Schizosaccharomyces pombe: one gene and its partners. Changing the gene in region 1 together with any one later gene gives a genetic interaction. Each region holds a gene or a part of one and is shown in the gene's direction. Other genes may lie near its edges. The genes, in order: msa1, dcr2, vht1 and gos1.

Region 1 (9,297 bases):
CATAGATTGATATTATATCCTTTCAACAATGAGAGAAACGAGATGGGTATGAATAAGTATTGATTTCCTACCAACAAACAATTTGTACATTTTATGCTTTGAAAACGTACTGATCTACATTACCATAGTGTCTTGTATTGTTGGCCTTGCAAGTGAAGTGCTATTTACTGTTACTATCAATAAACGCATCTTTGGTTCTTGGTTACCATACTTTGTGCTACAAATTTTATCTCTCATAAGTTTTTTTTCTTTTTTTTTTTTTTTTTTGAAATTTTAAATAGATAACAAGCCGAATTTCGAGAATTTGCTTGTCTTGATCAGGTAAAAAAGGGTAGTTGCTCCGATCGATCGAGCTAATGATATCAGTAAAGATCAAAATTTAGGAGAACTTCCGCGGTAGCGGATTTCTCAGTCAAACATAGTACTACAATAGATACAGAAAAGAATTGCTTAGCTATGCAAATATTTACTCAATGAACGTTGACTGAAGTAGCTTCATCTCTTGCATGTGCGTTACGGCAATGCATATGCATGTATCGGGAGTGAATAAATGAATAGAGATGTTGACAAGCGACAAGAAAATAATTTTTATAGGTAAGAAAGTTTTTGATAACTTTTTCTAACTGCTCAACCATTGCTATTGACGAAGTTTAGATGGATGTTTTTTTCTTAGGATTGCTAGTGGTAATCGCTATTTTCACTAACGCTAAGCGTTACAGCTCGTTTCGCTTTTTATTCCCATCCAAAAACTTGGACCCCAATGAGACAAAGTGGGGGTGGAATATTAGAATTGCGACTTTTAGATCGTTACTGAATACCATTCCAAGTATCCCACATTGGAGAACCATGTGGGGAACCGTTCGAGTTGGTATTGTACATACCCCGTCGGCCAAGGTAAGAGAGCGTGTAGACTGTAGTTACTACTTTTTGGCTAGAGGATTCAAAACTCAAAAATAGCTCTTAAAAATAAATATAGAAATGAATTAATTCAAAAACATATAATTTTTCTTCGGGATTCCTTTTTTTTACAACAACAGTCATTTCAAGTGCTTTGACTTGACAGACGCAACATAAATAAATAAATAGAACACTTTGATGCAAAGTATCGAATTCCAACATATCTCTCTAGACTGCTTTTCTATTAAAACCATGACTACTAGTGTTTCCATATAAAAATATAAAGAGATCCATCAACAACTAATACGTACATATTAGATTTTGCATTCCCAAATTGCTTCGTTATTTCACATACACCCATTTATTTAAAACGAGTTAAGAGTAACATCATTTGAAATCAACTGAAACATTTATATAAGCTGATTTTTCACAATCTTGCTATTTCACTAGTGTGGAACCTGGAGCTGCTTCATAGTTTTATACAATAGCATAACAAAACTCCAATAATCTCATTTATACTCTGACTCACCAAGTCGATGATGTGTATCTATTTAGGTTAAATTGATCAATTATATAATTGTTTCTCATATATTCCCTTACTTATCGTATTTATTATTTATTTATTTATTTTTATTTTTTGGAATATATACCGTCTAATTAATAATAACATGATTCTATCCACTACGTTATAAATAATGTTGGCTAAAAAAGTTTCTTTACGTAAAAAAAAAAAACAAAGTCAAATTGCTTTGCATACATGTGTCCAAAATTTACGATTATTGAGAATGATAGATAAAATCATAAATAAAAGTTTTGAAAGTGATGGAAGTTGCAATTTTCTTTCTTTATTGAAAACTTGTGCATCCATTTGTATTAGTAAACCAGCTTGGATTGTTAGGTAACTGTTACCCCAAGGGCATCTGGTCTATACGACTTGAGTGGTGCAAATATCCAAGTTGTACCTCATGTCTTCCAATCCGCTATAGCGAAGACGATGTTTGGTCGGAACGATTCTCTCCATTCATCGATTTTCTTCAGCTTCTTCTAGCAACGCTATATATATTCGTGCTCTCCGCCATCTGCCTCTTAAACACTCGTATATCGTTTATCCTTTCATTGACGGTATTCCTTTGCAGATATCGTAAACGAGTTTTCATAAAATTTAATCCTTTTTTGTTTATCTCTTACTTCCTTTGCCCATTTCCATCTCTTCACATAAATAAGTACGATGCCTCGTAGACGTTCTGCCGCACCTCCTCCTCGCCGTGCAGCTCCTGCCAGAAGTGCTTCCACTGCTGCTGCTTTACCTCCTAGGACAATGGCACCTCCTCCTGCTCCTAGTCGTGTGCAACAGGCTCCTCCTCCCACCGCCGTCCAAGGAGGCAGCTCACCTGGATTCTTCGGCAATCTGGTTAGTACAGCGGCTGGTGTTGGTATTGGAAGTGCTATCGGACACACGGTTGGCAGCGTCATAACAGGCGGTTTTTCTGGAAGTGGTTCCAACAATGCTCCAGCTGATACTAGTGTACCTCAATCTAGTTACAGCAACAGTGTTCCAGAAGCCGCTTATGGTTCAGCACCTCCATCCACCTTTGCCAGCAGTGCTATTTCTGAAGAGGCGAAGAATGCTTGCAAGGGCGATGCTAAAATGTTTGCAGATTGTATAAATGAGCATGAGTTCAGTCAATGTTCTTACTATTTGGAACAGCTAAAGGCTTGTCAGGCCATGTGGTCCAACCAACAATAAGAGGCAATGAACTAATTTATTTATTTTTCTATTAAATAAAAGTTATGCCCAGTTTGTTTGCATCAGCATCAGCATCGAAATTTTTTTTTTCATGTTTCTACTAACGAGAACGTTGAACCCTAATAGCATTTGTTAAGCAGTAAATAATAACTGGTTTCCCTGGTATAAGACATAGTATAAGAACGAGAAGAAATAAATCATATATGGTATTTTTTTTGTTTGGTTTAGTAATGAAGTTCTTTTTTTTTAAAATGGCCCAGTAATAAAAAAGTTCACGAAGAACGTAGTTAGAAAGCTTGATAAATAAATTAAATGAAATCTATGCTCTTTAGAAAGTTCTATGATCTGGCTTGGAGAAGAGTAGTACATAACAGTATGGTAATGTAGTTAGAGCTTCTCTTAACATGCGTACGTTTTCATACCTCTTAATAGTAGGGATGGTTCAGTTCATACAGCTACCTAGTTCACCCCATCAATCAATCAATCAATCGATACAGTCACTCTTCAAAGCATTTTGAGAGTTCTCCCACAGATTTTATGCTAGCTGGAGTTCCGACTTGTTTATTAAAGTAGGAAGGTTGGAAGCGAACCATATCTAACAAACTTTTTTCAAAACGAAAATTAAAAGCAAATTAAACTTTCATTGTCTTACGTCCCATGTTAGGGGGGGGAAGCAGCTAAACAATGATGATTTATAGATGGTTGCCTCGGCTATTATTTACTTTGTTTCATATCTGAAAGAAGAGTAAGGGATAGGATACGCCAAAGATCCACCATAAAACGGTTTATCAACAAAAGGATCATCATCGAATTTGGTTTATGAGTCTTTCAAATGTACTCGTGTTTGTTAGTTTAACATACTATTGCATCCACTAGAGATAGTTAAGAGAAGCTGATTTACAAATGATCGGTTTCGACATGTCTGCCAAGTTATACTTTTAACGTATTACCAAGAAAAAAAAATTTACGGGACGGGGATTCCATTCTTGCTGCTTTGGTTTATACTGTAAGCATAACAGCAATCTTAAATTGAATCGTCTTTGCCAAGCGCATTTGTAAGAGTATTGTATGCTATGCCACGCAGTGCATTTTCATATCCAACGCTACATACAATTTGTTGTTACTCTTTCTGTAGACCATTTCGGAACGTTGATTGAAGATCGGAAAATTTAATGTTTCGTCCAGAAATTGTCTGCATATGTAGTATCACAGAGAGTGTCAAGTCATATCTGACAGCATCAGGTTAATGAGCTTAATTTGGGCCAAAGGCGAGCTAGAAAAGAAGAAGAAAAAAAGAAAAAGTAAACAGTAAAGAAAAACATATAACGACTCTTATTCATCCTTCCTCAGCATTCCCTTTTTCATATTTTTATCCCATTCTAATCCTAGTCTAAGAAATGCTGGCGATATAGACCGAGTCTACTGGTGTCTGGAAAGGAACATAGCTATATCTATATATAGATATAGATATAGATATGTATGTATGCTTGTATTTCGTTGGCAGTTTTCTAGTTTAACTAGCAAAATACAAGAATTAAAATTAGTATTAGTATTATTATTATTATTTTTAAACATTTAAACATCGACTAATTTTTTCAACATCTGTTTTCACTTTCAAGTATCGACTACTTTCTACATTCCAACGATCCATTCTTTATTATAGATTCACCCTTTTCCTCGATAAATAAGCACCATTACACATACTTAAAATTTTTGTTTCAAAGGGAAGCTAAACTGTACGACGATGTTTATCGTTATACTCAGCTGTCACTTATCCAGAACTCACTCCATCAGAGTGCGTGCATTTAGCTTGCTCCCTGCACATCCCACTACAAAGTGTTAGAGATAGGCAATCGGAGTTAGAATACCGAGACTTTATTCCAAGGTAAAAACACATCTAGAAATGGGGACAAACAAAGAAACAAAAGGTCATGTGAATGTTAGATTCAAGGGGTAGAGTTCGATATCTCAGCAAGCGATTCCTTTTTTTTTTTTTTTTTTTTTTTTTGAGAAAACCTCGGTACACGCTAAGCTGGCTTTTCCTATTGTTACTCCTTTTACTACTAGTATTATACTATTGCTTTGCTTTGTTGAATAAACAGTCTATAGAACGCTCAAGAAAATACGACGAAAATAGTTTATTCATAGCTTGACAAACTAACTACCTTTGTTTTGTTTTGTTTTTTTCTTTTCTTTTTTTTTTCGTTTCTTAGCTTGGCTATAGCTTGCGTATTCTGTCTTTGTCAGTCATTAATCCAGACAGTAATATAACATATTCACCTTGTTCTTTTAAAGGTCTCCCTTTTTTTCTTTGTTGCTCATCTAGATTGTGCTTAATTTTTTTTTTGTATACTAATCAAAATTCAATTTATTTTTCTTTAGTTATTTATTTGTTTTTTTTTTCGCTTTATTGGATCCTATTGTAAAAAATCATCTTTTTCATTGTGCTTGCAATTTACCTTTCTTTGACGATTACGCCTTTGTTCACGACTTTTAGCATTCTTCCTTTTTCTATCTCCATGGGGCCGTTGTTAACTTACTCCTAAAATTTGTAGTTGCTTATCTTCACAACCAAAGGATGCTTCGGTGCAGCACCCAATTTTTAGCCCATTACCCTGTGCCCAATTCTCAATGTCTCATCATTTGTCAATACTAGCTTGTTCCTTATACTCCCTGTAACCCACTATCTAAGACATTGTGGAGAGGGAAATGTTGGCAGTAGTGATATACTTCCGAATGGACAATTGCCTATCAATCGTGGTAAAGGAGAATGGCTAGAATTTAGTAAAATGATATGGCCCAAATAGAACGGTAAAATTACTAAAAGATTGAGGATTTGAGGCAGCGTCTTGGTCGTTTGACTAATTATTAGAGTGTAAGCAGGATTCGGATGTATTGCTCCTTTAGTTAATCATATCGTCTGGTTTTGCTCCCTAATGTCCCTTGTCCTCTTTTATGCCGCCTACATTACCGATGAAGAACACGTGTTGAAATCCCCGAGTTTGCAAGTAGTCTTGATATACAATGTCTTTTCCTCGTATATTCCGAGCAGATCTAAACCTTCGTCGTGAATAACCCCCTTCTTTGCTTTCACCTAAATCAATTGCTATTCGAGGGTTTTCGATTCTCTCCTTTCTCCATTAACATACTAAATTCAATTTCTCTTTGTGTGGGTTGCTTCCTTTTTGCTGAGACGTCTCCCCGTCTTCCATCCTGTCTTTATCAGTTTTGTTGCATTTCTGATCACCCATTTTTTCTTTTTTTCCTTTTCTTTTGTTATCTATCGAATACCTCCACATTGCTTGAAATACTAGTGAGACTGCGTTTACCTTCTCTTCTCATCTGATTCTGTCTGTGCCATTGAGCTTTCCTTCGCTCTCCTCTTGCACCTTTTGTTGCGTTTACTGGCTTCTTTATTTTTATTTGTTTTCTTTTTCACCTCAAACTTTCTCTGTGTTCAGCTTTTCGAGATATTCAACTGCAATTGTACTGCTCTTTGATTCTTTCACCTTTTTCAATTCGAACTTGCTACTCCCTCAAGCTTATCCAATTATTTTTTAGCTTCCACTTGAGAAGAGTTCTCTCTATCCATCACCCAAAAACTGAAATTTCATCTTTGTGAAATTTCTTTCACGGTCTGATCACCGTGCAAGCTATTTCTATTCCCCATTTTACTTTTCTCATCATCTGACTCTTATTCTGGAAATACTCGTTTCCCCCACTCAAATATATATTTATTCTTTGGGCTTTCCTTAGACTATTGTTAGACTGCAAAGTCTCGTTTGGTTTACCTACTGTCTATCTCTGGTTTTGGTTTTTCATTTTCCATTTCTGTTTCAGCTGGTTTCTCAAAATCTTCATCCTTTCTTTCTTTCTTTCTTTTGACTCGTCATTTTTAAGAGCCATTCCATTTCTTTCTTATTTATACGTGTATAATCTCTATTTTATCTTTGCATTTTTGCACTAAATTACCATACGCTTGCGTTTTTTTCTTTCCCTATTTCTGCAATTTTATTACCTGAGTAAAAGTTTTCCCATTCGTTTTTTCCTATCCCTTCTTTGATCAATTTTATTTATCTTTTCTTTTGACCAAATTTTTTCTCTGGGGTTTTTTTTAAACTTTGTTTTGAAGGAAATTTTAAATTAATTAACTTTTAACTTTTTCAGTTGAAATACTTTTCATTCTTTTTTCTACGCAGCTTTTGGATTGCTGTTGACACATCATCTCATAACTATCTATTGTATTCCATATAATCGACTGATACGACCTCCATCCCACTTTGGCGCAGGCATCTCGTATAAAGTTTTGTCTTTTTAATTTGATATCAATCCGGCATCCTTGTTTCATGCCCCTTTATAGATCCTTTCTCATTCCAAACTTTTTTTTTAAACACATTATTTAAAAATGGTTGTTTCCTCTCCGTCTGTATCTTTATTGCATTCTCCTGTCGAAAAATTATCAGCCCAACTCGAAAAAACAACGCTTTTACAAGACATTCCCCCAGGTTCTTTATCCGAAAATGATAATTCCACTACCTTTATAAAGCCTCCTTTGGAAACTGCATCATCAAGCACCCCTATCCCAAGTTCCTCTTCCAGTGGAGTATTAAATCCGTCGTCTGTCCGTGGAAAACCAGTTGCCTGTTTATTTGTTGCTAGCTTAAACTCTTCAAGGTCTGAGGAAGAGCTGACTGCCACTGTTAAAGATTACTTTCAACAGTGGGGTCCTTTGTTGCATGTCAAAGTTTTGAAAGATTGGTTGCAAAGGCCTTATTCTTTTGTTCAATTTCAAAATACTGATGATGCATCGAAAGCACTTTCTGAAGCCCAAAACACGATATTGGATGGCCGTCATATACGTATAGAGCGCGCCAAAGTTAATAGGACAATCCGTATATCCTCTGCACCCCATCAACCTTACATTACAAAAAAAGACATAGATAACTTATTGGAACCTTATGGCGAGGTTGAAGATGTCACGGAAATACCAGATCAATCCGCTTTCTTAGTACGGTTTGTTTACAGGGATGAAGCAATCGCAGCCTATACCGCGCTTAAGCATTCTGCCTGGCCTGTACTTTGGGCGGAAAATGTGACATATCAAAACGGTCACTATAAGAAGAAAGGTTCCTCCCCGTTTTCTCCACCTAACGCACATAGTCGAAGGCGAAAGTCGCAAGGCAAAGATCAGTCGAACACTCCTGTTATCAAAGCACCTGCCCCTATTCCATTCTCAGTTTCTTCCGATCCTCCTTCTACCATGGGAAGATCAAATTCCGCGGTTCAAAGTCCCTCATACTTTGCTCACTCATTGGTCAATTCTACTGAATTCAGTACTCCTAATGAATCTTTAAGCTCCTTACCGAGTATATTACCTTCAATACCCTCTTTAGAAAGCGGCAAGGCCGAACTCCCAACAGATGGTTCTTTTGAACAGCCTGGATATCCCATGAACCCCTCTATGATGTTTGCTGCAATGCCTCCACCGATTGATCCTTATTCTATATTCGTTGGCCAACTCGACCCAGTAAATTGCACACACTACTTACTAGTTGATCTATTTTCCAAATATGGAAAGGTAATCGATTGTAAAATAATTCATCAAAGCAAGAAGCCTGCTTTTGCTTTTCTAAGGTTTGATTCTCAACAAGCCGCTTATGCTGCCGTCTGCGGTAAGACGAGGTCCCCACACCAGAAAAAGCCTTTGCGTGTTGAATTTCGTCAACTAAGACCAATGCAGCAATTTTCCCCTCAATATCAATATCCCTCCTATCCATATCCGATGTTTCCAGCGCCATTTTCACCACCTCGTAATGCAATGATGCCAATCCCTGCACCCATGGATCAGTTTTCAACATTTCACCAGTCAATGGCTACCCTTCCTCCTGGTGCCGTTCCCACATCAATTCCTCAGTCGTACTATCCCATTTATTCTCCAGAAATGGCTATGCCTCAATCGTACAGTCCGATGTATTATACGCATAACCCACCTATGGATGGGAATTAGATTTATTTTGAATTTCCCTTCATTATCTGATTGAGGTTTCACTTCTTTATACAGTCCTTAAGTGTCGGAGTTTTTTTTATTAGGTACATATTCTATAAAACACTAATAATTATCTAATTTATTTTACTTAAAAGATGCAAATTGGCTGCAATTATATTTAAAAGATTTAGAGTCATAAATGTTATTATGTTCATATATATGTCTTCTATATAATTTTACGAATTAGTGTAACTCGTAACAGTTCTCTACTTTACGCATTAACGATATAATGATATTAGATAGAAGTTTATTTATATATGCTCCCAAATATAGATGTTCTCACACATGTATCGTATACACTCTAACCATTTGATTATTTTCACTACATAAATTTTTACAAAAATACTATATAAAGTCAATTCATTTTATGAAATTTTTAATTTGAGGCTGTAATATTACGTGAACTTTTTATTTTGGCTTACTGGCGAACTGAAAAAAGAAAATTAGTTTTTTTTTTAACAGACCTCTATTTCATAGCTTTAGACTTTCTCAAAACACTAGTTTCATATAAATATTCCTTATAGACACTAAATACAAAAAAAGGTTCGTGAGGTAAAGAACCAGAAAAAGAAAAAAATTATAAAGACAGGACAAGCATAAGTTTACA
Region 2 (6,991 bases), on another chromosome or scaffold:
TTCCAAAAGATTCAGAAGACAATAGTATCAACTTTGTTAATCAAATCTCGATAACCGATGATTTTAAAAACCAAGTGGTTACAGAATATACGAATGATACAAAATTGTTGAATTTACTAAACAATGAAGACAAACGAGTGGAAGAGAATATCCAACTCAAAGATGGCTTACTAATTAACAGTAAAGACCAAATCTTATTACCTAATGATACTCAGCTGACTAGGACAATTATTAAAAAGTATCATGAAGAAGGTAAATTGATTCATCCAGGCATTGAACTTCTTACAAACATTATATTACGTAGATTTACGTGGAAAGGAATAAGAAAACAAATACAAGAATATGTACAGAACTGCCATACATGTCAAATAAACAAATCTAGGAATCATAAACCTTATGGACCTTTACAACCAATTCCCCCATCAGAAAGACCTTGGGAATCTTTATCAATGGATTTTATTACAGCTTTACCAGAATCATCTGGTTATAATGCACTTTTCGTGGTAGTTGACCGATTTTCAAAAATGGCAATCTTAGTACCTTGTACGAAATCCATTACAGCAGAGCAAACAGCTCGAATGTTTGATCAACGAGTTATTGCTTATTTCGGCAATCCAAAAGAAATCATTGCAGATAATGATCATATTTTTACTTCCCAAACGTGGAAAGATTTCGCACATAAATATAATTTCGTTATGAAATTTTCGTTACCATACAGACCACAAACTGATGGACAAACTGAGCGTACAAACCAAACTGTGGAGAAATTACTAAGATGTGTATGTAGCACACATCCAAATACATGGGTAGATCATATATCCCTAGTGCAACAATCTTACAACAATGCGATACATTCAGCAACTCAAATGACACCTTTTGAGATAGTACATCGCTATTCACCAGCTTTATCACCTTTAGAGTTACCTAGCTTTAGTGACAAAACTGACGAAAACTCTCAGGAAACGATCCAAGTATTTCAAACAGTTAAAGAACACTTGAATACAAACAACATAAAGATGAAAAAGTATTTCGATATGAAAATACAAGAAATTGAAGAATTTCAACCTGGAGACCTAGTTATGGTCAAAAGAACGAAAACAGGTTTTCTTCATAAATCCAATAAATTAGCACCTAGTTTTGCAGGACCGTTCTATGTGTTACAGAAGTCGGGTCCAAACAACTATGAATTGGATCTTCCAGATTCAATCAAGCACATGTTTTCATCTACTTTTCATGTTTCTCACCTAGAAAAGTATCGACATAATTCAGAACTCAATTACGCTACCATTGATGAGTCTGATATTGGAACAATTCTTCATATCCTAGAACATAAAAACAGAGAACAAGTACTCTACTTAAATGTCAAGTACATTTCGAATCTAAATCCGAGTACTATTATGTCAGGATGGACTACATTAGCTACAGCGCTACAAGCGGACAAAGCAATTGTCAATGATTATATTAAAAACAATAATCTAAATATCTGAGAACATATGACTTATCCTCAGATTTACATAGAAAATCTTGGGGAGGGCAATGTCAGCAATACTACACTACGCTATAATACACTACGTTGAGTATCACTATATGTCACATGTTCTAATTATATATCGTACCATGTATGATACGATATGGAGATTGATCTTAATGATAATCTATTAAGATCAATATTATCTGAATACTATAAATAGAGCTACTGCTGAACCTCGTTCCTCAGTTCAGTTATGAGCTATATTAGTGATAGGTAACATTATAACCCAGTTAATACAATACCTATACTCAGTTGCTACTTATACAACCTGTGTATCGTAATATAATAGATCACAAGGAAAACTCACCGCAGTTCTACGTATCCTTAAATCAGATACCAAACTGCGTAGCTTACACTTAATGAGTTTTCAAAAAAATATGCAAAACCAAAATAATGAGGAAAACATCATGTGAGATTAGTTAAACGAAGAATGAGTCTCAGCTTGGAAATTTGTTAATTATCAAGCTTCAAGGTATTCTGCTTGAACTTTGAGTTGAAGAATAAATGGGTTCTTTATTTTGAAAGAGTTTGCGTTATGATAATTACTCTTTGGTTCGGCTTAGTGGTTCGGCACAATAATTATGCCGGAAAAAAACAAGATCCGCAAAACCCTCTATATATATCGACTTGCTGGCAGCTTAAAACTTTTCAGATCAGGTAAGAAACTAACGCAATAGTACCCTTACACAGTTATACAACTATTGACACATGTTTCATGGGCCACAACATGTGAAATGTCGGCCAAATTAAGCTTGAATTAAGCGAGATTTATAGTACCTTGAAATATTCGTTTTCATTTGCGAGTTTTCTCGTACCACTACAGTATGAAGCAGAATTTCTCAGAAAATAATACTTAACAAAAAGTTAGAGCTTAAAATATAATCCAAAATGGTTGTTAAGATTTTGAGAGCTGCCGTACCTCTCATATAAACACTCACCGCTAGAAATTAAAAAATAAGTGAGATGAAAATATTAATGTCAATGAGTATCTGAGAGCTTATCCATGCAATTTTCTTCTTCCGAAATGCCATCTAGCTTTAACGTTTGTTTTCACTCACAAGAAAAGTCGCTATAATGCTGAATTTTAATAGACATTCAGAATAACTGAGAACCTGCTAAACTACGTTAAGCTCATCTCTTCACATACCGAGCTCTTTCCAACTTCAAGTATTATGATAAGCAAGTTTCTTGAAAGCGATTCTTAAGTGAGTATTCTGCACTACGCTAGGCATAGATAACGGATTCGTTCTTGTGCTCCGCATTCGAATCTTAATTTGAAAAGCCTTCTTCTACCATGTAAACATTACCGTAATATCCACATAATCCTTTTGCTTTCATGAATTCAGTCAATTCTACAGGTTTTTCATAAAAACTTTTAATTTGAAGCACATTTGTTATATAAATATTGCTTTTCTTTGTCAAATATTTGATCCGTAAAAGAAAAAGTTCTCGCGGGACGTTTTTCGGTTAAAAATACATTCCTACAATTACTAATCTCGTGTTCAAAGACTAAGCAAAATGATGCTACCAAAGAGAAACATTATTCATTTCCTTCGTAAAAGGGCAATCTTCATAGTTGCGGCTTTCATAGCATTATTGACTGTTGATTATTCGCTCAACACCATTGAAATCACTGACTCAAAGTCGGGACCCTTCTCACTGAACACTCCAATCGAAGATATAAGGCTGGTCGAGTGCTTTTCCTTTTCTCCCTTTTGTCGTCCCGTTTTGGAATTTTGGAAATGGGCCCGTACTAGTCGGAATCTGTACCGTTCCCGAATTCCTTGGAAGCGTGCCTACCTTTACGTGAAACGACCAGCACTGTATATTCCTGGGGAGACTGTCTTAGTTGAACAGGTATATGTTGATCGACAGCTGGAAAAGCGTAACAAGCACGGTATTCAAATTCGTTATGGAACGGATGGTGATATTTGCGAATTTAATACATTGTTGGGTGAGGATGTTGTTGAATTACGAGAGGGTTGGTCTGCTGTTCTAAATGACTTTATTTATTTAGGACAGCCGGTCCTATTGACGCAAAGACCTTGTGAAACTCCTCCGACGCCATCTATTGAAGCGCTTAAGAGAAAGGAGCTTTCATCCGTAACCCTTACTTATGATGACGAAGAAAAAAAGACAATTAAGATTCTTCAGCTTTCTGATTTGCACTATTCAAATTCTGACAGACCGTGTCGCGATCCTTATCCGTATGAGACTGCAGAGGATTGTATGGCCGATGCAAAAACTACTGCTTTCGTGAATGAATTATTACAGTTAGAGGAACCGGACTTTGTCCTTTTGACTGGGGACTTAATTAACGGCGACACGTCACGCGACGCTAGAAGCTCTTTGATGAAAGCGGTGTCCCCTTTTGTTGATTACAACGTCCCATTTGCTGTAAATTTCGGAAATCACGATGATTTGGGAGATTTATCGAGGGAAGAGCTTGCCAAAATTTTGAGTCAGATTCCTGGTAGTATGGGTTTGATTGGAAATGTCTCTGGTGTTGGTAACTTTGTTTTACATAGTCCCCGAAAGTTTGCCATTTACGTTTTAGATACAAAGGGAGATACTTCAAATCGAAGATTATGCCCTGGATACGATGCTATTACCGAGGATCAACTGGAGTGGCTTTCTAGTAAAGTTGCGGATTTCAAGTACGAGCCCATTCAAATGGCTGTATTGCATATCCCTCTGAAGGAGTTTTGCGAGACTGAAGACCTTGTTGGTGCATTTCGAGAGCCCTGTTCTTATTCCATTTGTGATCCAAATACTGCGAAAGCTTTGAAAAGTTTACGTATTCCTCTTGCTATTGCAGGACATGACCATGTAAATGATTTCTGTGGAATCCATCCAGATTATAACACATACTTTTGCTTTGCTGGAGGTGCTGGGTTTGGCGGATATGGAGGACATGGTGGCTACGTTCGTCGTGCAAGGGTTTTTGAGTTGGACCCGGTTGAGCGCGCAGTTCGTACTTGGAAACGCTTGGAATGGCCTCCTGAAGACCGTAAGTTGATGCTGGACGTACAAACTATTTTAGTTTAAACAATCACTCCTCTCATTATATAACTTATTTCACAGCAGGATATAATTTTCTTTTTCTTCTATCTTTACGATATTTTTATTTTCTATTCAATCTTCATCCCAATTTTATGGGATCCTTCTTTTCAAAGTGAATTTCTTATGTTACGGAAGTAATATACTAATTAATATTAACGAAATTTTTACGCTCTTCCAATTACATACTTAAATAGTTTTGAAATGTGTTTGCTAATAATTAATTCCACATTCTACCATTTGCAGTTGAGATCCATCATATATTTTATTCCAAAATACAAGTAAATATGTCCATCCACATACGCAATACATATATACAAAATATATATATTCATTTATATAACAATCGTCAAACCTAAAGGCTTAGTCACACTTATAGCTCGCAAGTACGATTTATTTTTTGTGTTTTGTTAAAAAAGACTGCCATAACATCCTTAAAATCATAATCTGGAAACCTCAACATACGGAATGCTAGCAGTAAAAAGGGTAAAAAAAAGTAAGCTAAAAAACTCCTAACAAAATGAAAGAAATCGGTATACCTAACTGGTTGCAGCTAAAATATTTAGGCCTCAAGCTTAGCCTTCAAGATGGTACGAAGAGTATCAGCATCCTTGGCAAAGGCAGCGATACCAGTGGACAACTTGACTACAGCCATTTCGTCGTTGTTAAAGTCGAAACGGAACTTGGGCTCATCAGTAAGGTAGGAAACCTTCTCCAAATTGAGGCTGGAAGCCTTGGAGGCATCAAGCTTCTTGGGGACAGCGTCGGTGCTGTTGTTGAGCTGCTCAAGAAGGGCGGGGGAGATGGTCAAAAAGTCAACACCAGCGAGTTCCTTGATCTCACCGACGTTACGGAAAGAAGCACCCATGACAATGGTCTTGTAACCGAATTTTTTGTAGTAGTTGAAGATGTTAGAGACACTGACGACACCGGGGTCTTCTTGAGCGGTATAGTCACGGTTATTCTTAGCCTTGTAGAAATCGAGAATACGACCGACGAAAGGAGAAATCAAGGTAACGTTAGCCTCGGCGCAAGCAACAGCTTGGACAAAAGAGAACAAGAGAGTCAAGTTGCAGTGGATGCCCTCTTCCTCGAGTTGCTTAGCAGCTTGGATACCCTCATAGGTGGAGGCAATCTTGATGAGAACACGCTCACGACCAATGCCCTCGGCTTCGTACAACTTGATGAGGTGACGAGCCTTCTCGATAGTAGTTTGGGTGTCAAAAGAGTAACGAGCATCAACTTCGGTGGAGACACGGCCAGGGACGATAGCGAGGATCTTGGTACCGAATTCGATCAAAAGACGATCAAAAGCAATCTCAATTTGAGAGTTGATGGAACCACCCTTTGCCTTGGCATAGTCAACAGCAGCGTCGACGAGAGCAGCATATTGGGGCTTCTTAGAAGCGGCCAAGATGAGAGAAGGGTTTGTGGTGGCATCTTGGGGTTTGTATTTGGCGATCGATTCAAAATCTCCAGTATCGGAGACGACAACAGTGCCAGTGGCCTTTAATTGTTCCAATGAAGACATTTTGATAAAACTACCTCAAAAACTCGTTAGTAAATACTTTTTCCAGACAAATAACTTCGTTTTTCCTAAAAAACACTACAAACATACCTTTTCTGAGTTTCTTGGTGTTCCTAAGGATATAGGTTCTGGTTAAGTTGTGTGTAGCGTGGAAACTTCCACTTAAGCATTTTAGGTACGTCAGCCAAAGTTTCTTTGAATTTGCGGAGAACTTAGCAATGTTTGTCTAGATTTAATTGATTGCTTAAGCAGATGAAAAACTTTCGATTTTACTATAAAATTTCAGAAGAAAAAAATGGAAGCTGCAGACTGTGCTCAATGCATTCTTCACCATCGAAAGTATAGGAAAAGTCGAAAAAATTTATGAAAAAGAAAAATTTTAAAAAATGGTCGAAATCAGATTGTTTTTTTGTTCCAAATTGAAATATATAATGTCAGTAATCTAAGAAAAATAATGCGCTGGTCGCAAGCGGGATCCCGAACAAGATATTGAAGAGATTGACATGACTGGGCTGATTGCAAGTAGTGCCTTAAGGTATGTATTAATGCTAGAACGTTACAAGTATAGTATTGGAAATATTTTGTTAATTGGCACATTTCTTTTGTTTGGTTTGAGCGACATGACAGCAGCAAGTTGCTGCATCGGACATGATCGATGTTCGCACAAGTGTTAAATAGTTGGACCTAAAATTGAATACATATCCATGGAAAACTCTTAAATTGGTAAAAGCATCTGATACTCTTTGGATAGGTATACTCTTCTACCTACACTCTTGTCGATTCGAATTGCCTCTTACAGTAATACAAATGAGATTAGCTTCTAAGGTATCTACAGTCTTCAGAAATGGTCAAGTTCGTAATTAAAAAGGCTT
Region 3 (6,994 bases), 2.6 Mb from region 1:
ATGGGTATGATTAAAATATAAAAACTCGTGTCTCAATTTTTATCTACAAATACTTTACGTTACTAGTTTTGACAGATCTAAAAGAATATAAAAAGTAATTTATAAAAGCATTTTATACGATCTTTAAAATTTGTGAGTCAATTGGGCTGCTTAAAATACAACACAAATCAATTTTTAATATTTACGATACGTAAAGTTTTTGCAAATAAAACATCGAACAATTAAATAAATAGTTATTATCACTGCTTAAATATTACCAATCCTTTATTACTATGTGAAAAAAACTGTACTAAACCATGATTAGATATAAATTATAAATCGCTAGATACTGACAGTTAGATTATTTCTTCAAATAAAAATTTTCTTTTTTATTTTTATTCCTATTCCAAATAGTAACTAGAATGACGATCAATATCCAAAATTGTATTATTTATTAATTACCATTATTTTTTATTTTATTGTTTTTACACAGAAAACTAGTCATCTGTATTATGTAACGTTCCTTTTTCTATTTTATTTTTTAAATTTAGGTTATTAATTTCTCTTTTGTTTTCCAGGCACCAACAAATAAGCAAACGTATATTGCAATGAATGAGTTTACAAGTCAAGTGTGGGTATTGCATTTTTCTCATCGTTTTAAGCATAATCCCGTTAGTTTTTCCAACAGTGAAATTTTTTTCCATACACTCTTTTAACATTTAGTAGTTTTTGACGAAACTGGCGATTCCCACAAAGTTTACTAATCGCTGATCGCTAAAAAAAATCCACAAGGTTTCATTAGTGATCTTTTGAATTCATCCGAGATGCTCCCTACGATTTCTGTTATTTTTGCAAGCACATTCGAAACGAGCAATATTTTCTCATTCTCACGCCAGGATGGATGCAACAGATCTAACATCGTTGCTCTATTCAAAAATTCATTGTAGGGGTGATTTGCAAAAAAGAACATGCAAAACAAGCATGACATTGAAATAACAGAACTGGCAAAAGCAGTAAACGAAAAAAAAAGGGGCAAAAATTAAGAAATGAAACTGTAAATGAACGGGTTTAAAAGATAAAAAATTTGCTTAAATGTATTAATTAAACAGGGAATTTGCTGAAAAAAGAGCACTGCTCTCATACTTAACCTTCGTACTCTTATTATCGAGAAAACCAACGCTACTTGGTGAATTGATATCTTCGCCAATAGCAAATTGGATATATCATTTATCTCCAATTCATCAGCTATCCCTTGCTGAATCCACTAAAGATTAATAATGAACGAAAATAATTTCAATGAGAAGTATGAGTTTGTTGGGTAAAGTGATTTATGAACCTATGACATGTTGAATCGTGTAGTAACTTTCGTAATGAAGAAATGATATTGCCGTTCAAATTATATCCTACTAAATTTAATCTTATTACGATCAACAAGCTAAATCGTTCGGATACTTACTATTTTCATCGACATGAACTAAAACAATAACGAGTAACAACTTTGAATCGTAAACGAATTCTAAATTTTGGAGTATGTTCCACATTGAAGATCGTTAAGATGAATGGCTAAAGCAATTGATTCCTAAATAGAAATTTCTTTTTTATGCTATCTTACTACCTCATTGTTGTTAAAAATACTTTTATTTTGGAAATTAATGAAAGATAGAGCGGTATTGTTTAATGGAATTGATCTTTCCGGATCTGTCTAGATTTTCAATCCGCACTAGCGTACCAACACATTATACTTTGAAGCATTTGATTAGCGGCTTGTTCAAACACACACGTAGATGTATCACGGTATTCCATGAAGAGATATGATCGTGGAAGAAAACTAATATGGGCGGCTATCAAAAAAAGTCGACCGGCTGGAGAACTAGTTTGCAATGATGCCGAAGAATGCAAAGGAAAAATATTAGGCACATTTGAAGGCTAGGTATTTGAGAAAAGAATTATAGTGAATGATAATCAGTGATTTATGTAACAGCTCTACATAATTAAAACAAAATAAGAGATCTATATTGTCGACAAAAATAATATTAGAGAGAAAAACGACATCATATACCTTCATAATATTATAATTATTCTTAAAGAAAATATTTGAAAGATCCAAAAATCTTTATATTAGTATATAGAATACCTGTTGCTGGTGTACGTTTGAATGAACAATCGCTCAACGTTTCGACTACCCGTTTTAAAAACATCTTCATTAAATCTTAATACTACTATAGAATTCGATCTATTTCTATTTCTGAGCGAAGTTTATTCAAAAGTTTAGACGCCTCTGCTTCCATATATTTCCCACGATCTAAGCGATATTTATTTCTTATCCTTCATTTCGCTAACTTTCACAATCTAAGATACCGTGATTTGACGAGACCTGGCCGTTGCGAAATTTCATAAAGAATAGTGACGGGTTTTTTTGTATTTTAATATTTGTCGCAATCTTCATTGCAATTAAAGTAAGTTGGCCAGGTAGCAATATTGACGCCCTTCATTAGTATATATATGCGCCGTTTTTCTAATTTTCAATTCTTCGTGCTGAAGTGAACGGGGTTGTGTTGGTTAAAATCCACCACATTTAGAAAAGTATTGGAAAGCCATCACTGTCTCGATATCCATCTGTCATTCCCGAAAATTTCAAAATAATGGCTTCAGAATGGCCTGAAACATCGAGGGCCTCCTCAGTTGAGGAGAATCCCAAACTTAATATTCCTGAAATTGTCGAAAGCGTATCAGATTCAAAGCCCTCATTGAAGAATCAATTTTCGACGACAGTAATCGATTCGTCTGATCTCAATGTTTTTAACGATGGTGCGGAAACGACGGTAAAAGAGCAAGAATTTACTAGTAGCGAATTGCGAAGGTTACAGAAATTAAGATTGAAAATGGACCTTCGTATCATTCCATGTCTTTGGATTCTTTACTTTTTGTCTTGTTGTCTTCGTTTTACTGTCTCACTTTCGTTTACCATGAATACGGCTCAGGGCCACAGTCTTATTCAAACACTTTCTGGCTACTCAGCTCACTATCTCGCCTTGGGTTTGGCGTTGTTTTACGTTGGCTACATTATTTTTGAGGTGCCCTCCAACTTGATGATGGCATTTATCGAGCCCCGAATTTGGGTGTCTCGTATCCAACTCACCATTGGTGTTGTTGGTGCTTGCCATGCAGTTTTGGGAACGAAACATGGTAATGCGCAAAGTTATGTCGCTTTACGTTTCTTCTTAGGTGTCGCTGAATCCGGCTTATGGCCCGGCTTGGCTTACTACATGAGCCGTTGGTATAGGGGCAAGCACTTGGGTAAACGTATTGGTTGGTATTATACGGCTGCTCAAATTGCAGCAGCAGCCGTCAGTTTGGTTTCAGCTGGTTTCCAAAAGATGGATGGCGCTCGCGGCTTGTATGGATACCAGTGGATGTTCCTTATCTGGGGAGTCGTTGCTATTGCCCAAGCATTATCCATTCCCTGGTGGTTGCCGGCAGTTGCTTCAAAGGAGCATAGAAAGTCGCTTAGCTCGTTTATTCCCTTACCCAAATGGATGAAAACTTTGTCTCCTCAGAGAATTGGCTTCCTCACGCCTGCCGACAAATCCCTTCATTCTAGATACATTGCAGAGATGAATGTTGGTAAGCGGTGGCAATGGTCTGATTTGCTAAAGTCTTGCTTGGATCTCCGCGTATGGCCTTTTATTCTCATGTACTTTGGTATCGTCGGTGTGGGTAATGGTATCTTCAACTATTGTACTTTGATTATTGAAGAGATTAACCCCAGTTTTTCCGGTATCGATATCTCGTTGTTGAATGCTCCTATTTGGCTTGCCGACGCTTTGGGCATTGTCACTGTTATGCCATTGTACGACAGATTCCATAAGAAGTTTTCCTTCTTCACGGGATCCTGTTTGATCATCATCGCCGGCCTTGCCGTTGCTAACTACGCTCCTCGTGCCTGGTCACGCTATGGTGGTTTACTCATGATTGGATTTGGTCTTGGTCCAACCGTTCCCATTTGTATGGCCTGGTGCTCCGCCTCCATGGCCAAAACCTATGGCGATGTAGGCGTGGCTTCCAGCTTGGCCCTCGTGACGGGTTTGGGCAATTTGGGATCTGTCGTTACGACATATGCTCTTTACAGTGGCTGGCCTGGTGATCCTACCTTCCGTAAAAGTAATGATGTCTGCATTGCATTGATCGGTGTCTCCATAATAGCGTGTGGTATTGAATTTTTGCTGGATAAGACTGGATTCGGTCAATTCAACGCTAGTTTTAACAACCATGATCATGAGGTGGAAGACGAGCAAGAGATGACCGATATTAAGCCCGCGCTTCCTTCTTCCCAACAGGCTGACGCTTGACCTTATGCAAGAACGAATATAGATATGTCGAAGGAGCAAAGAACAAGACCATCCTTAGGGTTCGTATATTCTTCACTTTCCTCCGTATTAAAAGTCTCATCTACGTTTTTTTAGAACCATATTCCTATTGTTTGTTCTTTGCTACAAATTTTAATGTTGATGCTTTTTGTGATAACACGCTATTATTTTAAAAGTCGATTATGAGAGACCGGGTTTCTTGTCTTGAGAAATTTTACAAGTTGAAACAATCAACCGATCCTCGTTCTTCGTAGTTTTTTCTTTTGTTGTTTGTTTATCATTCTTTTTCTTTTATTTTGGGAATAATTACTTTGTGGTATCCTCAATGCATTCATTTTATTATTAAGTTTCTATATACACAACACATTATTTCAGGTTCAAAAATATCATTTCCTTCAATTTAAATCCCTTTTACTCTCTTTATTTATTTATTTTTTTTCTTTCTCATTATTCTAGTTATTTATCTATCACTACATTGTACTGTAACTCTACCAATTTTATATGCTCCCATACACAATCGCATCTTTGAAGATTCACTCACTACTCACTGTACCCATATCCAAGTTCTTAAGTTAATATAAAGATGCTTTTTACGAGGACCGGATTCTAAAAAATTTTGCATATTTTACGACTCCGACTGAGAACTTGGGTGACTAGCTCATTGGGTCTTCTTACCACGTTTTATTGAAAATGTGAAAAATTGCATTGTTTCAACTTTGTGGAATGGAGCGAAAATGCGCTTATTCACTCGTCAATTTGAATAACCAACAGGATGTTAGCGTAGAACGACGTGGGTAAATTGTCTCTTAATCATGACTGCGATTTCAGCTAAATGATGATGAATCGTTAGATTGAAGAATGACTAATCCAGAGCCGAAACTCCGTTTATAAGTTGAAGTGAAGCAGAAAGTTTCATTCCTCTCCATAACTTAAAAGAAGTAGGCTTTCACACTGCATTGTGGAGTGGAAGTCGAAGCATTCCCAGTTAATTGTTAGTTAGCTTAACATTACTCGTAGGATTTGTGCAATTGAGATTTTTTATAGATCTTCCCTTATTTATTAATATTGTGCTTTTGGTAGTCTGTATGAATTCTACTGCTTGAGACAATTCTTAGTTAATTTGCCTGTGGTGTATGCTAAGTTCGCTAGACTTTGTTTTACATTGATTATTTATTTTTGGATCTAATTCGGTTCGGTTTTGATTTATTTTTTAGACGTGGCTCATATTTTTTTTATTGGTCTGGTTAATATTTATTTAATCTAAAGTTATTTCATTCCTGTTTCTCCTATTTCTCCTATTTATTGTTCCGTAAAACTCACTTTACTGTTTCTTTTTTGTTGGCCTTGGAATTTGAAAACATGGACACAAACACCTTACCTCCCAAGCCGTCTATCTCTCCATCAATTGCTTCCTCTTTCCCGACCGTGAAACCCTTCTCTTCTCAAAACTCTACCACTTCGAATCCCGAGTTATCTCACATCGAAAAAGAGTCAAATGCCTCCTCCATTATAATTAGTCAACAACCGTTAAGTCCATCAAATATTTCTTCTGCCGCTCCCCTCGACGAAACCCACATTGCTACAAAAGCTTCAGCTTCTTTACGAAATAACAATGTTTCTCCTCACATTCCTTCACCCTCTTCTTTTTCTTCTTCTTCCTCCTCCGACCTTGACAAGTCCATGTTAGATGAAAAACATCCTGATTCTGAGGATATTACTGCTGTCTCTTTGTCTACGCCTCCTTTTCCCGAGAGCATCGATGTTGCTCGTTTCAGCTCGGAGGAAAAGAAAATCCTTTCTCGCATTCGAAGAAAACTCGACTTGAGGATTATTACTTGCTTATGGATAACGTATTTCCTGTCAAGAAGTGTAACGTACTCTATTTCTCTATCTCTTACCATGAACAAACATCAAGGTCATTCTCTTCTGCAGACTGTTTCTGGATTGAATTATCATACTCTATCTGTTGGCACGGGCCTTTCTTATGTTTCCTTAATTATTTTCGATCTCCCTTCTAATCTACTAATGACCCGTGCTGATCCTCGACTTTGGCTCTCTCGTATTCAAGTAACCACTGGTATTATTGGTGCTTGTCATGCTGTTCTTGGAACTAAAGGATCTTCTGCTTCAGGATTTATCGCTTTAAGATTTTTTAATGGTCTGGCCATAGCAGGTATGTGGCCAGGTTTTGCCTTTTATACCAGTAGGTTTTATCGCGATCAACATTTAGGAAAACGAATTGGTTGGTATTACACGGCAGCTCAAATTTCGTCGGTCGCTACTAGCTTGCTCTCTGCTGCTTTTCAGAAAATGGATGGTTTACACGGTTTATATGGGTACCAATGGATGTTTTTAATTTGGGGTGTTGTCGCTTTTACACAAGGTCTTTTTCTTCCACGATGGCTACCATGCATAAAGCACAATCAGCATAATGAAAAGTGGATTTCTTGGATACGCATTCCTAAGTTCCTTGGTTTTCTAAAGGCCTCGGAAAATACCGGCCTTACACCTGAAGAGGAAGAAGTGCACGCCATTTATATGGCTGAGATGCAGGTAGGTAAATCCTGGACACTTACGGATCTTGCTGACGCTTTTTTGGATGTTCGTTTATGGCCTCCTATATTCATGTTTTTCGGAGTTGTGGGTAT
Region 4 (7,047 bases), 1.5 Mb from region 1:
CAAATTTTTGATTAATCTTTTGTTAATTCTCTTTCTAACTTAAATTATAGGGAGTCGCAATTTATCTGCCTACCACCGTTAGTTGGTGGGTATGCTATGAAGAATCGAAAAAGTACTTACAAAAGCAATCCAATTGGGATATCTCAGTAATTGCTCCAATATGTTCAGCTTTAGGTACTGTTGTAGCTACTACTATCTCAACCCCTCTTGACATTGTTAAAACTCGATACCAAGTGGCTACTTCATCAGCTATGCGTAAAGCTGAATACGGCCTCCAAGCTGAAAAGGAACTGGGGATTTTGGAAATAGCCAAACTTCTGTTCTCAAAACATGGAGTTAAAGGCTTTACTCGTGGGCTTTTTACGCGAATGTGTTATATTATGCCATCAGGCATGATCTCTATGTCTGTATTTGAATCTTTCAAAAGTAAAGACATCGACTAAAAAATTCCTTTTCTATGTTTTTTTTTCATATGGCATGCCTTATTTTTGTTATACCGTGAAATAACCTTCGTCTCGTTTAAGTTTAGTTTCTTATTAGAACATCCATCGTAGCATTCGCTAAAAACACAACACCAACGTTGGATAAACATTTTGGTAAATGAATATAATTTAAAGTATTTATTGATTTAATGATACCTGTTTAAAATATTTAAGAGTTTAAAGACATTGTTTCCACTGCGTTTCATGAAATGTTGAAATCCGTCGGTACTAATGGTCGGAAAGTACCTAAAATAGCTTCGTTATGCAACTTTTTAAAATTTAATAAAAACATACACAGCAATCCAGATTTCTTGGCAATTGCTGAAAATTGGAAGTCATATTGGAAATCCCATTATCCGTTCGTCAAAAATGACAAAGGAAAGAAGAAGTATATACTAAGTATGTTCCCTTATCCAAGTGGTTTACTACATATCGGACATGTTAGGGTGTACACTATTTCCGATATCCTATCGAGATATTATCGGATGAAAGGATACAAAGTCATTCATCCAATGGGTTGGGATGCATTTGGTTTACCAGCTGAAAATGCTGCAATTGAGAACGGGATATCAGCTAGTTCTTGGACGTATGAGAACATAAAAAAAATGAAAGAACAAACTTACCATATGAATATTTATTTTGATTGGGACCGAGAGATTTCAACCTGTAATCCAGATTATTACAAATGGTCACAATATCTTTTCCTTCAAATGTTTCATAAGGGATTGGCGTACCAAGCAGAGGCCACTGTAAACTGGGATCCAGTTGATTGCACAGTCCTTGCCAACGAGCAAGTTGATTCACATGGGAGGTCCTGGAGGAGCGGTGCCATAGTAGAAAAGAAAAATCTTCGACAATGGTTTCTAAAAATTTCAGACTATTCAGATCAGCTGCTCGATGACCTTGAAACATTACCAAAATGGCCTGACAAAGTAAAGAAGATGCAGCGCAATTGGATTGGTCGAACTACGGGTTTTGAAATATCTTTTCCTTTGCTAAACGATAAAGAAACTCTTACAGTTTTCACTACTAAACCTGAAACAATAATAGATGTTAGTTTTATAGCTCTTTCAAAAAACCATAAACTTGTTTTACTAGAATCCCAAAAGGATCCTTCGTTGGCAGAACATCTTCGCAATGAATCCTTACTAGACAAAGGATATCAGCTCCCGTGCTTTGCAAAAAATCCAGTAACTGGCAAAGCTTTACCAATATTTTATGCTCCTTACGTTTTGGACTGTTATGGTACTGGCGCCGTTATGGGCGCACCTATTCACGACCGCCGAGATTTTGAGTTTGCTAAGCGTAATAACATAATATTTTCTAAAGAAAGTTGTATAGGTTCATATTTTACAAATGAGGGAAAAGAACTTTTGAATCATCATGATTCTTCGAATTTAATGGATATCAAGCAAAAAATGCTTCAGCAAAAGATTGTCAGTTACCTTGAAGAGAAGAAATTAGCCAAACGTGTTAAAAATTATAGACTCAAAGATTGGCTTATATCAAGACAAAGATTTTGGGGTACTCCTATACCAATGGTTCACTGCGAAACCTGTGGTGCTGTCCCAGTCCCTGAATCTGAACTTCCTGTAAAGTTGCCTGATCTTGATAAAATATATGAAAAAGGTACTTCGCCGTTATCAAATCTAGAAACATGGATGAAAACAACCTGTCCGAAATGTCATGGCCCAGCAACAAGAGAAACTGATACTATGGACACATTTGTAGACTCATCATGGTATTATTTTCGTTTTTTGGATTCTAAAAACTCGGAGCTTCCTGTAGGTTTAGCAAGTGCGTCCTCTTTGATGCCTGTTGATATTTATATTGGTGGCGTTGAGCATTCAATACTTCATCTTCTATATTCCAGGTTTTTTTCAAAATTCATGAAGGATATTGGGTTATGGAATGGTGATAAATATTTAAATGAACCATTTACTCAACTAATTACTCAGGGGATGGTTCATGGTCTTACTTATACAACGATGTCGGATGAACGAATACTTAATCCAAAAGAAGTCCAGAAAATTGGAGACGAATATTTTCTAATCAGTAATCCTAAAGAGAAAGTTCAACTTTCTTACCAGAAAATGAGCAAAAGCAAGCATAACGGTGTAGATCCGATACGTACTATTCAAAAATATGGCTCAGACATTATTAGAGCTTACATAATATTTTCAGCTCCAGTGGAAGGCGTACTCCTTTGGAATGAAAATGCAATAATGGGAACAAAACGGTGGTTAACCAAAATATGGAATTGTGTTCATCAGTTATTGGAACGTGAGAAAAAAATGTCTGATGCGATGAGACAAACGAAGTTAACTATTGTCGACGATCACAATAGCAGGAAACTCGAATCACAATATAATGAATTTATTTCACAATGTTCTGCTCATTATGAAAATGTATTTTCTCTCAATTTAGTAATTTCTGACGCCATGAAATTGACTAATAATATAGCAGATGCTTTAAAAAATAACAAAGTCAATATCGGAACAATTAAAGCATCTTTGGAAGTGCTTGTGAAATGTATTGCTCCAATAATACCTTGTTTTTCAAGTGAGTGTTGGTTGCTGCTAGGACATAATTCTTCCGTTTACTCTAACTGGCCCATTTCCAAAAATAAAAAGGAGAATATGGAGGAGCCCGTTACTATTCCTGTCCAAATTAATGGTAAGGTGAGATTTAAGATTGAAATGCCCAAACTCAATGATGAAAATGAAATACTAAATTTTGTGCTTGAGACGAATGATGGGAAACGTTGGCTCTCTAATAAAAAAGTTTTAAAATCTTTTGTGAAACAAAAAATCATCAGTTTAGTCACCGACTGAAAGTTGGTTGAGACACGAGCTTCATGTTTCAAAATAATTTTGATATTTACCATAACAATGCAATGTTGGTTGCGTAGTTAATTTAATGCTTAAAATTCATTTTGAATGAAAAATATCCTATCTTAATATCACAATGTTTTCTAGTAGCATAGCTTTTCTATCACTGGTATATTTAGGAATCTCTACGTAGTGGGATACTTCTCTAAACTACATACTAGTAAGAACGTCATCTGAAAGCCACATTAATCAACAGAAGAGAAACGTTTGTTTTAAAATCATAACTTAAGCTACTAATTTTTCTCTTATAAAAATTTGAAGATCTCTTTAGCCATGAAGTCTATGCTTTTGAGAGATTCGGTGAAAAAAGCGTCTCAGTTCCAAAGATCGTTGCACAGTGATCCTAACCAAGCTAAAATTCTGCTAGAGGAAAGAAGGAAGCTTCTTGAAGAAGCCAACTCTTCAGCTGACGAAAATGACTCGCATTCAATGGCTACTATCAAATCACATTTTGAAAGACTAAAACGAGATGAGCAACTTCTTAATGGCGTTTTGAAAAAATATGATGCGAAACAGGAAGTTCTATCTCCTGAAGAATTACGAGATGCACAAAACTTTTTAGAAATGCAAGAGGCAAACTCTTTAGACAATTCTATTAGAGGCACTAATGAGCTTCTTGAAAGAGCTTATGCTACGAGGGAAGACTTTGATTACCAAAATAGCGTCTTAGGAAATGTGACCAATCGCATAAACGGGGCGGCCATGTCAATCCCTTTTATTAATCAAATATTAAGGAAAACCTCGATCCGTCGAAGACGTGATTCTATCATTTTAGCTTTACTCATATCTGTCTTGATGCTTTTGTTCCTTTTTTTTCATTAAGTTGCATGTTTTATGAAACGTTTATGAAGGGCATTGATCCCGCCAAAGTTATGAATATGTCATAAAGGTTTAATTAAGATGAAATAATATAAAAGTCCTTTTACTTTTAACCAACGTTTTTATTTACCAAAAACTTAATCGCTGTCTTCAGGTTTTCAATTTCGACATTAGTTGGATCACCGGTTCCAAGCCAGCGAATTTTGCAGGAATCGTCAATTAAATACACATTTCCAACAAGTTTGTTGTTCCATCCTATTTCTGGGAAACTGAACTTATTGTCGTATGCTGTAATATATTCATTCTGCTAGTTAGCAAAAGGTTATAAATTTTGGAAGTAAATAAATCTATCTTATCAAGCGAACAAACTTGTGAGCAGCTTGGACAAATAATGCGTCTACTTACCCAGCACTTTTCTGGTATTGATCTTTTAACTTTTCCTATAAATATCTTCTGTAGCCAATATTTTATTAGATTGGATTGAACATTTGCATAACGAACTGGCAGATAATCAAATGGAGCTAGATGTTGAATCCAATTCCTACATTGGTTTTCTCCAAACGCGTTGCTAAATAATGCAAAGAAAAAGGGCGAGCCTTGCCAATCTTTATATAGCTCTTTGTACTGATTTCGTAATGACTTCCCATGAAAGTTGTACATCCATAAGGCGCTCTAAAACGTGTCAATATTTTTAAGCAATAAACTAATTTTTTTTCATTCTTATTTGAAATTTCCAGAAATGAATATTACTTTTAACCAATTGTTCATACCTTCTCCTTAAATAATCTTGGAGGACTGTAAAACAGCTTACCATTAAATCGACGAACTTCGTTGAAATCTTGAATAGTTGATCTCTTCATTTCATTCAGCAGCTCCTTCTGTCTTTGCTCAGGAGAAGATGTACTCGCGGGTTTGGTAAGTTTTTCCCATAATGTTGGCTTTTGGACTTCAGAAAGCATCGTCGGTTTTACCAGTAAACCTACTGGAATGAGAGCAGATGGGGCTTTTTCTTTTGTATCATTGAGACTTTTGGTGCTAAAAGAACGCAACTTGAACTGATGCTTAACAATCAACCTCGGAATGACTAAATTTTTTAAATAATTATATGCCATGTTTACCAATTATAGGTAGATTAAAGGGGAAATAATCTTTAATTTATTATGCGATTTAAGAAACGCAAGGATGAACTTAATTATTATTATAAACTTCAATAGATAGGTATAGCAGAAAGGAGCTGTTGTTACAGGTGGAAGTACTCTGACGTTAAAAATTCATATCTTAATTTTCATTTTGGTTTTTTAATTTGTTTTTGGACATTAGTATATATCTACGATAAAGGTTTTCTCCTTTTAATTTCATTGTAATATAATTCAAGACTAAAATTGGCTTTTCATTGGATTGCGAATCTTTCATTGAATACTATCTTTTCAACTTACATTGAACGTGCATGTAAGGATAGGAAATGGAATGCTGAGATAATGAACAATACAAACCTTTCTAATTAATTCAATGTTTAAAGCAAACTCATTTAGCGAAAAATTCTAGCTTATTAAAACAGCTGTCAACCAGGGCGTAGAGATTACAATATAAAGACCTTACTTACCCTTCTTAATGTACTACAATACAAAATCATAGTTAAAAGAGTAGCTTTTTACGTCCCTGCCGACTGTTTATGTAGATGCATGAAAAACTATGAGAATATAATTTAGTAATCGTTTATATAAGCTAATACGCATTAATATTATATTAATTCATAATGCTTAAAAATCAAAGCAATTTCAATTTCCAAGTGGGTTAGAAAGTACTAATGGGGGGTCCATATTCTCTTTAAGACATTACTCACTTGAATAGCAATTATGACTTCGTCTACTACCTCAAGTACTATGTGGGGGGGTTGACCACTTATGAAAGTGAACCTACTAAAGTAGTTAGTGATACAAAAAAATAACTAAGTGCGCAATAATTCTCCGTCAACAAATAAATCGTTGAACTAGTATTAGTATATTGGCGTATGTAAGCTAATATAGTCGTTGTTTGCGTAAAACGAATTCAAATGGCTCCCAATCTGTGTTAATACGTTATGTTATGTATGATATAAGCACATTGAACATATCGGGATGAGTCAGTACTATTTTATTATTAACAAAATTGGTTAGAATTGAATATGACAAGTTGAAGACTCAATCAGCTAAGTTTTGTCATAGATCGGATCGGAACAGGCGATTAACAGTGTTGTGCTGAAGAAAATAGACAACAATATGATCAATAGAATCAACATATAACAATTAATCATCATTCATCGAACGAATGCAAGCTTCGCGATTAAATAACCGCGAAAGATTTAGTGAACTAAATATTCTCTCAGCTTTTCATAAATAAATTAAAATTAAAACCCAAATATATTAGAAAAAAAATTAAACAAATGCCAATGAATTTAACAATTAGATCAGTTTACTTAATAAAAGTTAAGTATTGAACTTTCTGACCCTTAAAACAATAAAGAAGGATTAACAATAAGGATACGAAACATTTCAAGAAAACGGTAACTTCTAATCGCAATTGCTGCAGTATTAAAATGTAGCATGACGAGCGAATCTCAATCTTAAGAGTACACAACGAGGCAAAATGATTTTTTTATGTTGCTATCCCACACTTCTCAATACCGTTGGTAACTCATTAGTAATAGTGTTATTCTCACAAATCTCCTTAGCGGTGAAAATTCCAATTCCATGATTCATAATCAATTCTGCTAGGGGTAACTCATCAGTGTCATCTAAATCAACGTGATAAGGGATGTAATGCAGCATAGTCAAATTTTGAAGATAACTGCTTGTTTGTAGCATAGCAACAGGACA

Evidence for each region.
Region 2: mutations in msa1 (region 1) and dcr2 together harm fitness less than expected from each alone (positive genetic interaction), as found in Schizosaccharomyces pombe (one large-scale study listed by BioGRID).
Region 3: mutations in msa1 (region 1) and vht1 together harm fitness less than expected from each alone (positive genetic interaction), as found in Schizosaccharomyces pombe (one large-scale study listed by BioGRID).
Region 4: mutations in msa1 (region 1) and gos1 together harm fitness more than expected from each alone (negative genetic interaction), as found in Schizosaccharomyces pombe (one large-scale study listed by BioGRID).

Annotation. Positions count from the first base shown.
Region 1 is NC_003424.3:2,317,992-2,327,288, reverse strand, and holds msa1 (RNA-binding protein Msa1), read left to right. Parts: upstream 1-4,463; 5' UTR 4,464-7,049; coding exon 7,050-8,651; 3' UTR 8,652-8,797; downstream 8,798-9,297. Other genes in the region: SPOM_SPAC6C3.03C (uncharacterized protein), read left to right, coding at 655-957; mix17 (CHCH domain-containing protein), read left to right, coding at 2,126-2,644. UniProt on the Schizosaccharomyces pombe protein: Negative regulator of sexual differentiation. Acts by repressing the transcription of meiosis-inducing, ste11-regulated genes.
Region 2 is NC_003421.2:772,629-779,619, reverse strand, and holds dcr2 (phosphoprotein phosphatase), read left to right. Parts: upstream 1-2,848; 5' UTR 2,849-3,049; coding exon 3,050-4,579; 3' UTR 4,580-4,830; downstream 4,831-6,991. Other genes in the region: Tf2-12 (retrotransposable element/transposon Tf2-type), read left to right, coding at 1-1,487; tal1 (transaldolase), read right to left, coding at 5,154-6,122.
Region 3 is NC_003424.3:4,956,428-4,963,421, reverse strand, and holds vht1 (plasma membrane vitamin H transmembrane transporter Vht1), read left to right. Parts: upstream 1-2,511; 5' UTR 2,512-2,621; coding exon 2,622-4,328; 3' UTR 4,329-4,724; downstream 4,725-6,994. Other genes in the region: SPOM_SPAC1B3.15C (vitamin H transporter), read left to right, coding at 5,706-6,994. UniProt on the Schizosaccharomyces pombe protein: Involved in uptake of biotin and desthiobiotin with the concomitant entry of protons.
Region 4 is NC_003424.3:777,841-784,887, forward strand, and holds gos1 (SNARE protein Gos1), read left to right. Parts: upstream 1-3,520; 5' UTR 3,521-3,646; coding exon 3,647-4,195; 3' UTR 4,196-4,301; coding exon of another isoform or gene 4,302-4,496; 3' UTR 4,497-4,597; coding exon of another isoform or gene 4,598-4,864; 3' UTR 4,865-4,962; coding exon of another isoform or gene 4,963-5,304; 3' UTR 5,305-5,579; downstream 5,580-7,047. Other genes in the region: SPOM_SPAC4G8.08 (mitochondrial iron ion transporter), read left to right, coding at 51-443; SPOM_SPAC4G8.09 (leucine--tRNA (Leu) ligase), read left to right, coding at 692-3,316; atp10 (F1-F0 ATPase assembly protein), read right to left, coding at 4,302-4,496, 4,598-4,864, 4,963-5,304; smp3 (alpha-1,2-mannosyltransferase), read right to left, coding at 6,835-7,047. UniProt on the Schizosaccharomyces pombe protein: Nonessential SNARE involved in retrograde transport within the Golgi complex.